Macaca fascicularis: one gene and its partner. The protein of the gene in region 1 interacts with the protein of each later gene in a pairwise test. Links are inferred from orthologs where the notes say so. Each region holds a gene or a part of one and is shown on either strand. Other genes may lie near its edges.

The links. The genes of interacting proteins can lie anywhere in the genome.
Region 2: the proteins of PSMA1 (region 1) and TRIM10 interact in binary tests that used the Homo sapiens proteins (3 or more experiments, as listed by UniProt). The two-hybrid records come from large-scale screens. The link is inferred for Macaca fascicularis from reciprocal best matches to the Homo sapiens genes PSMA1 and TRIM10.

What each region holds. Positions count from the first base shown.
Region 1 is NC_088388.1:51,242,946-51,249,016, forward strand, and holds part of PSMA1 (proteasome subunit alpha type-1), read left to right. Parts: intron 1-82; exon of another isoform or gene 83-119; intron 120-1,149; coding exon 1,150-1,238; intron 1,239-1,749; coding exon 1,750-1,820; intron 1,821-1,936; coding exon 1,937-2,066; intron 2,067-4,987; coding exon 4,988-5,067; intron 5,068-6,071. UniProt on the Homo sapiens protein: Component of the 20S core proteasome complex involved in the proteolytic degradation of most intracellular proteins. This complex plays numerous essential roles within the cell by associating with different regulatory particles.
Region 2 is NC_088378.1:142,514,663-142,520,637, forward strand, and holds part of TRIM10 (tripartite motif-containing protein 10), read left to right. Parts: intron 1-162; coding exon 163-393; intron 394-1,380; coding exon 1,381-1,403; intron 1,404-1,716; coding exon 1,717-1,832; intron 1,833-3,322; coding exon 3,323-3,355; intron 3,356-4,576; coding exon 4,577-5,094; 3' UTR 5,095-5,291; coding exon of another isoform or gene 5,292-5,375; 3' UTR 5,376-5,975. UniProt on the Homo sapiens protein: E3 ligase that plays an essential role in the differentiation and survival of terminal erythroid cells. May directly bind to PTEN and promote its ubiquitination, resulting in its proteasomal degradation and activation of hypertrophic signaling.

The DNA of each region.
Region 1 (6,071 bases):
CAAGAGAATCGCTTGAACCCAGGAGGCAGAGGTTGCATTGAACTGAGATCATGCCATTGTACTCCAGCCTGGGCGACAAGAGTGAAACTCAGTATAAAAAAAAAAAAAGAAGGAAAGAATTTCAAGTTATTCAGCCAGTCCCTTACTCTAAGTCAGCAATATGACAGCCTTAAGAGTTTCCACCTACTCTTCAAAATGGAAAATGTATTATCAAACATTTTATTTAATTCAATCTATAAAATATTGCCATGCCAACACATAATCAATATAAAAACTTTATTAATGAGTTATTGCACGTTTTTAGGTACTAAGTCTTTGAAATTTGGTATGTTATTTTGTACTTCTGAATTCAGTCTAGCTTCTTTTCAAGGGCTCCATAGCCACATGTGATTATTGCATGCGATATTGGGCAGTTTACTTTTAGACAGCATTGGGAAATGGACTTGCATACAAGTACTGAACAAATAGCTTGGTTCCTGTAGTCAACCATGTGATGATCAGATGTGACATACACATATACTGGACAAAGCAACATTGAAAGAAAGGAGCATATCCATTTCTTGTTGATCTTATTTATAGGCATGAATTCTCTTCTCCCCAGTGTTAACCTTGCTTGAATTTCATCAGATTTAACAGTGAGACTCAGCGGCTAGTGTCCACTATCTCCTCTAGAGTACTTCTTATGAATAGAAGTAACAGTGGCAGGAACACGTAAAGATGCCCTCTGCTGTGGTTTCCATTTCTTATAGTTGCTTTTTTGGGGAAATGTTAGTCTGCTTTCAAGAAAAAAGGACAGAGTAGATAATCTTTTTGCTGGTTCAAGATCTAGAATTAAGATTGCTGACAGTGGGAAGGATAAGAGAAGAGAGGTTGCTCTTTTTCTCTTGTTCAGCCTTCTCTGTTCTATAAGTGCTGTGAGACAAAGATTCTCTAGAGCTAAAAAATATTTCAGTATTTTTTAAAAACCTTATGTGGCTCCAGAGTTTGGCACAAAAACGCACCCTTGCAGGCATGTCTTTCTTACCTTCTGTCTGTCTTATATGGATGTGATCCATGTAAACACTTGGAATAATGAGAAGTGAAATCAAACGATTTAGATTGGAATAGTTGTCTATAATCTGCAATTACTAAACTTTGTTTCTTTTTTAGTAATTTTATGCGTCAGGAGTGTTTGGATTCCAGATTTGTATTTGATAGACCACTGCCTGTGTCTCGTCTTGTATCTCTAATTGGAAGCAGTATCCTTTTTATGTTAGCATTTATGGATATGAACTTTGAAGGGTTTTGATACTTCTGTTAATTATTAGGAATATGATAATAACATGACATAGGTAAGATTGTGAAAACTTTAAAACAACAAATTGGGTTGCTCTTTCATTAGCCTTTATAAGCAATTGATATTTGCTAGACATAGATAAGCCCAACTTCAGGAAAATTAAGCATCTTTTTAGAGGGGATTTAAAGTTTCCTAATGGTTCTAGATGTCCCAAGAAATCCTAGACCCCTTGTATCCAAAACAAATCAGGTTTTACATGGGAAGAAATCATTTTGTTGGCACTCTTTCTTAGATTTGGTAGAAAGGCAAACATTTTATATTAGGCCAAAGAAATAGTGTCCTTTTGCGTTATTTCTCTGGTGGATTATATAACAATTAAGGAATAAGCCAGATACCTTTGTTAATAATGTATAATTTGAAAATAAAGATAGTACTTCATTCCTTGTTAAAACAAGCTCTTTAACCAGTCTAAGAGACCCAGATACCAACACAACGATATGGCCGGAGACCATATGGTGTTGGGCTGCTTATTGCCGGTTATGATGTAAGTTCATTGAATATTGTTATATGTTAATGATTTTTTTTATTAACTAGAAATTTTTATAAATTTTAGTTCAACCAACATAAATAATTATGTGGTGTATTTATTTCTATTTGTAGGATATGGGCCCTCACATTTTCCAAACCTGTCCATCTGCTAACTATTTTGACTGCAGAGCCATGTCCATTGGAGCCCGATCCCAGTCAGCTCGTACTTACTTGGAGAGACATATGTCTGAATTTATGGAGTGTAAGTGATAGCCTTGCTTTTTTTTTTTTTTTTTGGCCTCTTCCAGTCTATATAGTAAATAAATATAGTATCCTAACTACATAAAACTATCAGTCTTACAGAAAGAATTTTTTTTTAAAATTAAGCCCCAGAAGAGTTTGTTTCTGTCACATATACTAACTTCAACTTCTGGTTACCGCCAGAAGTTAAAATTGATACCGTAGTTTCAATCACGACTAGAACTTTTTCAAAATATAAATGTGTTCCCAACCTTGAAAATTCTTGATTCAGTTGGTCAGAAGTGTGCCCTGTGGAGTGGAGAGTGGAGAACCACTATACTACCTGCCAGTTGTAAGCTCTGTTCACTTTTAGTTTTCTGTGAGTCTTATTTTAAGCCACACAGACATTTCTGCATTAGTAGTCCATAAACAAGAAATAAAAAGGCAGTGTAGCTGAGGGAAAAGAAGGTAAAAGAGGTAAGATATTATGACAGGGCAGGTTTTCAAGTGCTTTGCTTTGCTTTGCATTGGAAGGAGGATATTGGGTTTTACATTTCTTTGTCATCTTATCTGTTTTCTGGTGACATAGCATTCTTTGGAGGAAATATTTGGGGTTTAGTGAATGCAGAGAAAAATAGTTTAATTGACATTACTCAAAGCAAACTGTTGTAGGATGACAATAGGTTTAACTTTGGGAAAAGAGGATTCCTTGGACAAATAAGCTTGGTAAATGCTTGCTTAAAGTTTAACATTTTAAATTATGGTAAATGGATTGGGGTCCCCAAGGTTACCCCTAAATTGGGAGATTTGCTAGGACTTAAAGCACTCAGCATATGGTTGTACTCCCAGGTTAAGACTTATAACAATAAAATAACAATACATAGGTGGATCATTAAGGAAAAATACAGTCCAGAGGAATCTATGTGCAGGCTTTCTTATGCTCTTTCCTTCCCAGAAGGAGTCACAGAGTACACTTGCAGCAATATGTATGTGACGTTTCTGCCCAGGGAAGCTCATTGGAAACTCAGTGTCCAGTTTGATTCAGAACTGCTCATATCGGCACCCTCTGCCTAGCACATTTCAACCTGCATAGGAAATTCCTAAAGATTGCAATAAATCCATAGATAATTTTGGGGAGTACTGTTACTTAAATGATACAAGGCATCTGATCCATGAACATGGAATATCTTCATTTATTTAGGTATTTAATTATTTTTTTCTTTTTTTTCTTGAGACGGGGTTTCGCTCTTCTTGTTGCCCAGGCTGGAGTGCAATGGCACAATCTTGGCTCATTGCAACCTCTGCCTCCCGGGTTCAAGCAATTCTCTTGCCTCAGCCTCCTGAGTAGCTGGGATTACAGACTCGCCACCACGCCCAGCTAATTTCATATTTTTAGTAGAGTCAGAGTTTCTCCATGTTGTTGGTCAGGCTGGTCTTAAACTCCCAACCTCAGGTGATCCACCTGCCTCGGCCTCCCTAAGTGCTGGGATTACAGGCATGAGCCACTGCACCCGGCCAGGTATTTAATTCTTTCACTGATGTTTTGTAGTTTTCCATGTACAAATCATATTTGTGTTATAAGTATTTTATTATTTTTGGTGCTGTTGTGAACAGAATTGTGTTCTTAATTTCATTGCATATTATTCATTGCAACTACGTAGAAATACAGTTGATTTTTGTATATCAATCTTATATCTTGCAATCTTGCTGAACTCGTTTATTAGTTCTAGTCATTTTTTTATAGATTCCTGAGATCGTGTCATCTGGGAATAGAGATAGTTTTACTTTCTCCTTTCTAATTGCCCTGGCTGGAACCTCTGGTACTAATGATGAATAGAAGTTGCATGAACAAACATTCTTTTCTTTGTTCCTTAACTTAAGGGAAAAGCTTTTAGTCATTCACTATTAAGAATGATGTTACCTGGCCGGGCGTGGTGCCTCACGCCTGTAATCCCAGCACTTTGGGAGGCCAAGGCAGGTGGATCACGAGGTCAGGAGATCGAGACCATCCTGGCTAACACGGCGAAACCCCGTCTCCACTAAAAATACAAAAAATTAGCCGGGCGTGGTGGTGGGCACTTGTAGTCCCAGCTACTCGGGAGGCTGAGGCAGGAGAATGGCATGAACCCGGGAGGCAGAGCTTGCAGTGAGCCGAGACTGCCCCACTGCACTCCAGCCTAGGCGACAGAGCGAGACTACGTCTCAAAAACAAAAATGATGTTACCTGTCAGCTTTTTGTAGATGCCCTCTATAAGAGGTTGCTTTCAATTACTAGTTTTGTGTTTTTATTATGCAAGGATTTTAGGTTTTATCACATGCTTTTTATGCATCTCTTGAGGTGATTATGCAGGTTTCCCCCTTCTGTTAACGTGTGTTACACTGACTTTCAGTTGTTAAACTAACTTATCATTCTTGGGATAAATCTCGCTTGTCTATGGTATATAATTTTTTAATATGTTGCCAGGTTCCATTTGTAGTTTTTGTTGAGGGTTTTATTTTTTTATTATTGTTATTATTTTTTGCATCTATATTGGGTCTGTAGTTTTCTTTTCTTGTGATGTCTTTATTCTTGGTATCAGTAATACTGGCCACATAGAATAAGTTGGAGATTCCTTTTTACAATGAGCAAATATAGGGACTAGGATTCTACAGAACACATTCTACAAAACTTGGAGTTGTATAATTTGTTGTCGGGATTTTGATTTGACCTAGCAAAAGAGAAGATCAAAATTGTAACAGAAATAATGAGTCCTCTCATTAAATAATGATCAGCAATGTCACAGAATGCTATTAAAAGATTGTATGACTAGCATTAAACTTGGCTGTTTTTACTGTGATAAATTTAGTGTGTAACTAAAAACCACAATTTCAGACTGTAGATTTGATCAATAACAGAAGCCTAACAATGAAATTAAGAAATAATTGTTGATTTATTACATATAGGCAATTTAAATGAACTAGTTAAACATGGTCTGCGTGCCTTAAGAGAGACACTTCCTGCAGAACAGGACCTAACTACAAAGGTAAGTATTGTCTTTTCCAATTGTAGATATTAATGTTACAGTTTAAACCTTTATTGCATAAATGTAATGGAGTATATATACAATATTCTTTAATTTGGGATATGATTGTCTTGCAGATTCTTTCCCTTTAAGCTATTTGCTAAGTAATCCAATTTTATTTTTTAAGCATTTCTTTTTGGTACAAAGCAGTAAAACCAGTAAATCTCATGCAAAATGTCCTTCGTTATTTTCAGCAGATTGGCCTATCTTGGTATTATTTAGTTAACAAAAATATATATATATTGAGCATCTACCATGTGCAGGCACTTTCTAGGCATTCAAAATATAGTAAACACAACAAATACCTTTTCCTTCATGGAACATACATCCTAGTAGGGAAAGACAGTATACACATAAGTATATTATATAGTATATTAGAAGAAGATAAATGCTATGTAAAAAATAAAAAAGGGTAAAAGGAGAAAGAATGACTTAATTGGATGTAGGTAGGTGGTCAAGGATATTTTCACCAAGAAAATTAAATTTGAGGAAAAGATATAAAGGAGGTAAGTGAGTGTGAGCTATGCAGATGTCTAGAGCAAAATTATTCTAGGAAATACAAATGCAAAGGCCCTAGTATTGAAGGCAAGGAGGCCAGTAGTGTTGGGATCTATCATCAAGAGGAAAAGGAAAGAAATCAGAGAGGTAATGGAGGTCCCATAAGGCATTGTGGGTACTCTGCATTTTACTCTGAGTGGGCTATTAAGAGTTTGAGCAGAGGAATACCATGATTTGGTTTAGGTTTTAAAACAGTCACTCTGGTTGGCATTTTAACAACAGATTGTGGGCTGGGCGTGGTGGCTCATGCCTGTAATCCAAGCACTTTGGGAGGCTGAGGTGGGTGGATCACTTGAGGTCAGGAGTTTGAGACCAGCCTGGCCAACATGGTGAAACCCCGTCTCTATTAAAAATACAAAAAATTAACCAGGCGTGGTGGTGCATGCAGTCCAACCTGGGTGACAAAG
Region 2 (5,975 bases), on another chromosome or scaffold:
GCTGAGACAGCACTGTGAGTCTTGCTCCCTGAAATGGGATGACAGGTGAAGAGGAAACCATGATACAGTTCCAGATCTACCTGGGGACAGGGTAGGAGGAAGAGGAGCAGAGGGAGAAGGAGGAAGCAAACTTTCTCTTGGGCTCTCCTCCTGCCCCCTCAGACTCAGGTGTCCACCAAGAGACAACAGGTGATTTCTGAGTTCGCACACCTGAGGAAGTTTCTAGAGGAACAGCAGAGCATCCTCTTAGCACAACTGGAGAGCCTGGATGGAGACATCTTGAAGCAACAGGATGAATTTGATTTCCTGGTTGCTGGAGAGATCTGCCGGTTTAGTACTCTTATTGAAGAACTGGAGGAGAAGAATGAGAGGCCAGCAAGGGAGCTCCTGACGGTGAGGCCTGAACCTGAACCCTGCCCCACCTGTGCTGTCCTGTGACTCTTGTATCTTTGCCTTGCCTAAGTCATGTCTCCCTGACTCACACATCTCCGTATCCCAGATGGGAGGTAGGTCAGAGGACCAGAAGGTCTCAATTCTGGTTCATGCTTTTCCAAGTGTTCCCTGGTCACTTTTTGCTCTTTGGTCTCCACCTCTCCATCCCACCATCTGCCAAAAAAGGAGGATACTTCCCTTAAATATTTCACAGGGCTTTTGTGAGGATCCAACAGTGAGATGGAAGTGAAAGTAGCACTTTGAAAAGTATTAAGTACATTGCAAACCATTCTCTATAGCCTACATGTCACCATCCACCAGTCAGGAAGTTTGTGCTGGTCTATTTCACTTCCTCACACTGGAGGAGAGATATTGGGGTCCCCATAAGGTATTGGATAGGCAGCATGACTTAGAAGGATGCCCTCAGGACTGAGAAACAGGAGACCTTGGTATGAGACTTACTTTGCCTCTAATGAGCAGGGGAAGGTCACCTCATCATCTGTATCTAAAAAATAAAGGCTTTGGGCTCTGATCCCCAGAGGTGGGTGAGTCCTAATGCTCTGTGACTCTACACATCTGGTATCCTTTTCCTGTTCAGGGCTAGAAATGTATTTTGTATTTTCCAGTCATAAGAAAAGTGGGAGGTACCTGGGCAACATAACAAAATCCCATCTCTACCCCCCAAAAAAAAAAAAAAAATTAGCCAGGCATGGTGCACACCCTTGTAGTCCCAGCTACTCAGGATGCTGAGGTGGGAGGATCCCTTGAGCCCAGGAGGTTGAGGCTGCAGTGAGCTGTGATCACGCCACTGTATTCCAGCCTGGGCACCAGAGTGAGACCCTTTCTCAAACAAACAAACAAAAAATAAATAAATAAAATAAAAATTTAAAAAAGAAAAAATGGAAAGGAGAAGCTGGAAACTGAATCCCTGGTTTCTCTTTCTCCTAGGATATCAGAAGCACTCTAATAAGGTAAGCAATATAATTTCTCTCTTTTCTTTTTCCATATAAATATACACGCATGTACCGCATGCCTAGTTATTGCCACACAAGTATATAACATTCTCATTTAAGAATGTAAATTTATGTATAAACCTCTATATACCCAAATGCCTTCTCAGGTATACCCATAGATGCCCAAAAATGGGCAGTGGGATTCATCCATAGGAAGTATGTCTGCCTGCGGGAACTAGCACCTTCATGCCATTTTAGAAGATGACCGGCTGAGTCTGGAGACATTATTAAGGATGATAATTCCCAGACCCAATCATTTCTGTGCCCCTAGATGTGAAACCAGAAAGTGCCGGAAACCAGTGGCTGTGTCCCCAGAGCTGGGCCAGAGGATTCGGGACTTTCCCCAGCAGGCCCTCCCACTACAGAGGGAGATGAAGATGTTTCTGGGTAAGAGAATCCCAGGCCTCCACAGAGCACAGGTGGCCATGAAGCCCGGGTTTAGGAGTGGACTCCACGCTCCACTGCTGAAAGGTGTGACTTTAGCAAGGTTTATTCGTTCCTGTGCCTTGATTTTCTTATTTGCAGATTTTTATAAAATCTGCTTATTAGGATACTGTGACGATGAAGAAAGAGAATAAAGGTGAATATTTCTGGTGAAAAAGTTAAACTGATCTTAAAATAATTCAACAAATCTGATCAGTAGTCATTAAGAAATATGAAAGATAAAGCCTGTAATCCCAGCACTTTGGGAGGCCGAGACGGGCGAATCACGAGGTCAGGAGATCGAGACCATCCTGGCTAACACGGTGAAACCCCGTCTCTACCAAAAAATACAAAAACTAGCCGGGCGAGGTGGCGGGCGCCTGCAGTCCCAGCTACTCGGGAGGCTGAGGCAGGAGAATGGCGTAAACCCGGGAGGCGGAGCTTGCAGTGAGCTGAGATCCGGCCACTGTACTCCAGCCTGGACGACAGAGCCAGACTCCGTCTCAAAAAAAAAAAAAAAAAAAAAAAAAAAGAAATATGAAAGATAATGATTAACAGTATATCATTCTTAATAAATTTAAAAATCCCACAGCAACATTTGTAATACGTGATAAGTTTTTGATGATGAGCATTGTTAATTAATAGCCAGCCACAGTATTTATCTTGACCCTGTGGTAGCTGGCCCGTCCCTCCCTCCTTCTCACTTTCCTTCTGTAAGTCTGGCTCTCAGAGTTGGACAGTCCTGTGGGGACTGTGCTCCATTTCCTTTTCCGGAACAGGGAGTGGTGGTAAGGGGCGGGAGAGGGTTTGGAACGAGAGTCAGGAATGGGATATGGAATATGGCTCTCTGCCAACCACCTCCTCACTAACTGTGACAGAATGAATGATGACACCAATTTTTAAATGACTCACCCACAGTGATGTCACCCTAGAAGGACTTTTCCCATAAGTCCATTTCCTGCAAATACTTCCAGTGGCCTGGCAGTGAGAGAAATTTTACTCTAATCAAAGACTGACCTTTGACTCTCCCCAAAATTATTTCCAAGTGGAATAATAAATAAATGAACCCATTTCTCTATTCATTAAGCTGATATTTCTTCAGCATTTACTATGTCCTGGGCTCTGCGGGTACAGAGGTGAGCAAGGCAGACATGGTCCCTGTTTGCTCAGGGCTGGGGCAGTGGGGTTCCCAGCAGCAGCAGCATTGCCCAGGAACTTGTTACAAATACAGATGTTCAGCTTCACCCCAGAGCACCTGAATCTGAAACAGGCGTGTTTTAGCAAAAGTGCTCCAGATGATTCTGATGCAAGCTTGGAACCACTGGCCTAGAGGATTCCAGCTTCCATTCTTCTTGTTGTCGCTTCCCTCTTCTGGGCCTCAGTTTCCTCGTCATTAAGTGTCTGATGGTTTTGTAAAACTAATAAAATCTCATCCTGGTTTATTTTCTTTACAGAAAAACTACACTTTGAGTTGGACTATGAGCCAGGTAAGCAGCCTATGTCAGGATGGGAGAGAATGAGAAGTCCTTGAAAAGGAGAGACAATTTTGCAGGATTCTATCTGGGCACTACAATAGTCATAATATACACCCATGCATACATATGCACATCATAGATATTACATATGCACATATGTGCTTGTATAGAATACGTGTGTGTATATATGTGTGGGTGTGTGTCACATTCTTTGTAAGGCTCTCAGGAGAACCATGAAGAAAGGACAAGCACATACACATACTACATTCGTGGTACAAAGCTCACATCCTGAGCTGCACATGCTGAGTAGATAGAAAGATTAACACAGAATGGGATAAGGTCCATTTGGGAATGCTTTCTGCATAAAGGGGACTTTGATCTGGGTTCATAATCACATCTTTAGAACTGTGAAGAACCCCTGCTTCCTCTCAGATGTCATTTCACAGATGACAGAAGGAGGGTGGCCTGTGGGTGGGAAAGAAATGAACAGAAGGGACCCCTTCAAGGCTGTCGTTTCTCAATCAACCAGCCTAAGAACCTGGGAGTCACAGAGTTGTTGGAGGGGGTTCTCTAACCCATGGATGGGCCTAAATTTATGGAAGCTTCTCAATTTATGAATACTAAAAGTAACAAAATGCAAAGCTCTGCAGCAGCTTTTGGTGTTAGAAAGTGGTCCTCAGACTCTGACAGTTTCAGAATTACTGAGGCAGAGTGAATAACCCAGGCGTGAGCCAGAGAGCCTGCCAAGAGGGAAGACTATAAATGAGTCACCAGTGCCCTGGGAGGAAAGCAGGGAGGAATCATGAAGTTTGGACTGAAGGGAGAAATGTCTCTGCACTCCGGGATAGAGACAGGAGGAGGGGAGAATGTGGTGTATTGGCCCCAGGAGAGCCGAGCTGGCACACACAGCTGTGGAAACTAACCAATTTACGATGAGCAGAAGAGCTTTCCCAAGGACCACATGGAACTAAACGAGAGCTTTCACATCCTCTGAGGCAGGCTTTTCAGGCTTTACACGTGCACGAATCACCTGGGCATCTTGTTAGGATGCAGATTCTGAGAGTGTATATCAAACAAGTTCCCAGGTGATGCCACACTGTTGGTCCATGTAGGCACTAGACCTGTTTTTGGTAATAATAACACTAACAGGTGGGGCCCAGGGGGAGTTTCTAGGCCTTCCTCGGAGGTGATGGCATGTCTGCTGACATCTGTCCCTTTTGGTTATCCCCACAGCTCACATTTCTCTAGACCCTCAGACTTCCCACCCCAAGCTCCTCTTGTCCGAGGACCGCCAGCGGGCTCAGTTCTCCTACAAATGGCAGAACTCGCCAGACAATCCCCAGCGTTTTGACCGGGCCACCTGTGTTCTGGCCCACACTGGCATCACAGGGGGGAGACACACGTGGGTGGTCAGTATAGACCTGGCACACGGGGGCAGTTGCACCGTGGGCGTGGTGAGTGAGGATGTGCAGCGGAAGGGAGAGCTTCGACTGCGGCCAGAGGAGGGCGTGTGGGCTGTGAGACTGGCCTGGGGCTTCGTCTCGGCTCTGGGCTCCTTTCCCACACGGCTGACCCTGAAGGAGCAGCCCCGGCAGGTGCGGGTGTCTCTTGACTATGAGGTGGGCTGGGTGACCTTCACCAATGCTGCCACCCAAGAGCCCATCTACACCTTCACTGCCTCCTTCACTAGGAAGGTCATTCCCTTTTTTGGGCTGTGGGGCCGAGGGTCCAGTTTCTCCCTGAGCTCCTGAGAAGGAGCAGTTACCTACCCTCCTCTAAGTACAGGACTCAAATCAACCCAAGAACCACGTGGACTTGATCCCTGGCTGAGTTACCTGGACGACTTGGAATAGAAATGACTGCTTTAGAAGATGGGATGGGGCCGGTTGGTAAGGGATAGAGGAGAGGACACTCAATCTACTGATCAAGCCCTTTCTTCAATGCCCAGTGGATGGCCAGGGTACCTGGGTACTCAGGCTGCTGCCAGCTCTCCTCACCACCATCCTTGCTAGGCACAGAAGTAGCTGCATAGACAGAGCACTGGATTTGAAGTCAGAAGACCTGGGTTCTTGAAGAAGCCTTGTAACCAGTTGTATGACTTTAAACAAGATATCTCACCTCTTTTCATCTTGTTTTCTTCCAATAATGTTAGAGTTCATGTAGTCACATTCTCTAGAACCATTTATTTTGTGTTAACTATGAACCAAGCAATGTGGTAGCTACTGGTGATTTGAAAATATATATATATTTAAAAACCTGTTACGTATCTGAAAGAGCTCTTGGGAAGACAGAGAAACATAAAGAGGAAATTACAGCACAGTATGGTGGGTGCTATGGGAGGTCCAACCACAGCATTATGGGAGCTCAGGGGAAGGAGTGTAGCCCAACCTGGAGGGAGAGGGTGAGTGGGGGATGGCTTTCTGAAAAGGGTGGTCTAAAGGATGTCTGTGGTCAATAGGGAAAGAGGGGAAGAAGTATCTTAAGAAGAGGAAACAGCAGAGAACTGGCTGGATGACCTGTGACTCATGGAGCACTGGGTCATCTCCATTGCCCTCATGGGCAGATGTGTGCCATCCCCAGCTGGCACCACTCACTGCCTCCTTCCTCCTGGTGGTGCCACTTCTGGCTGAGA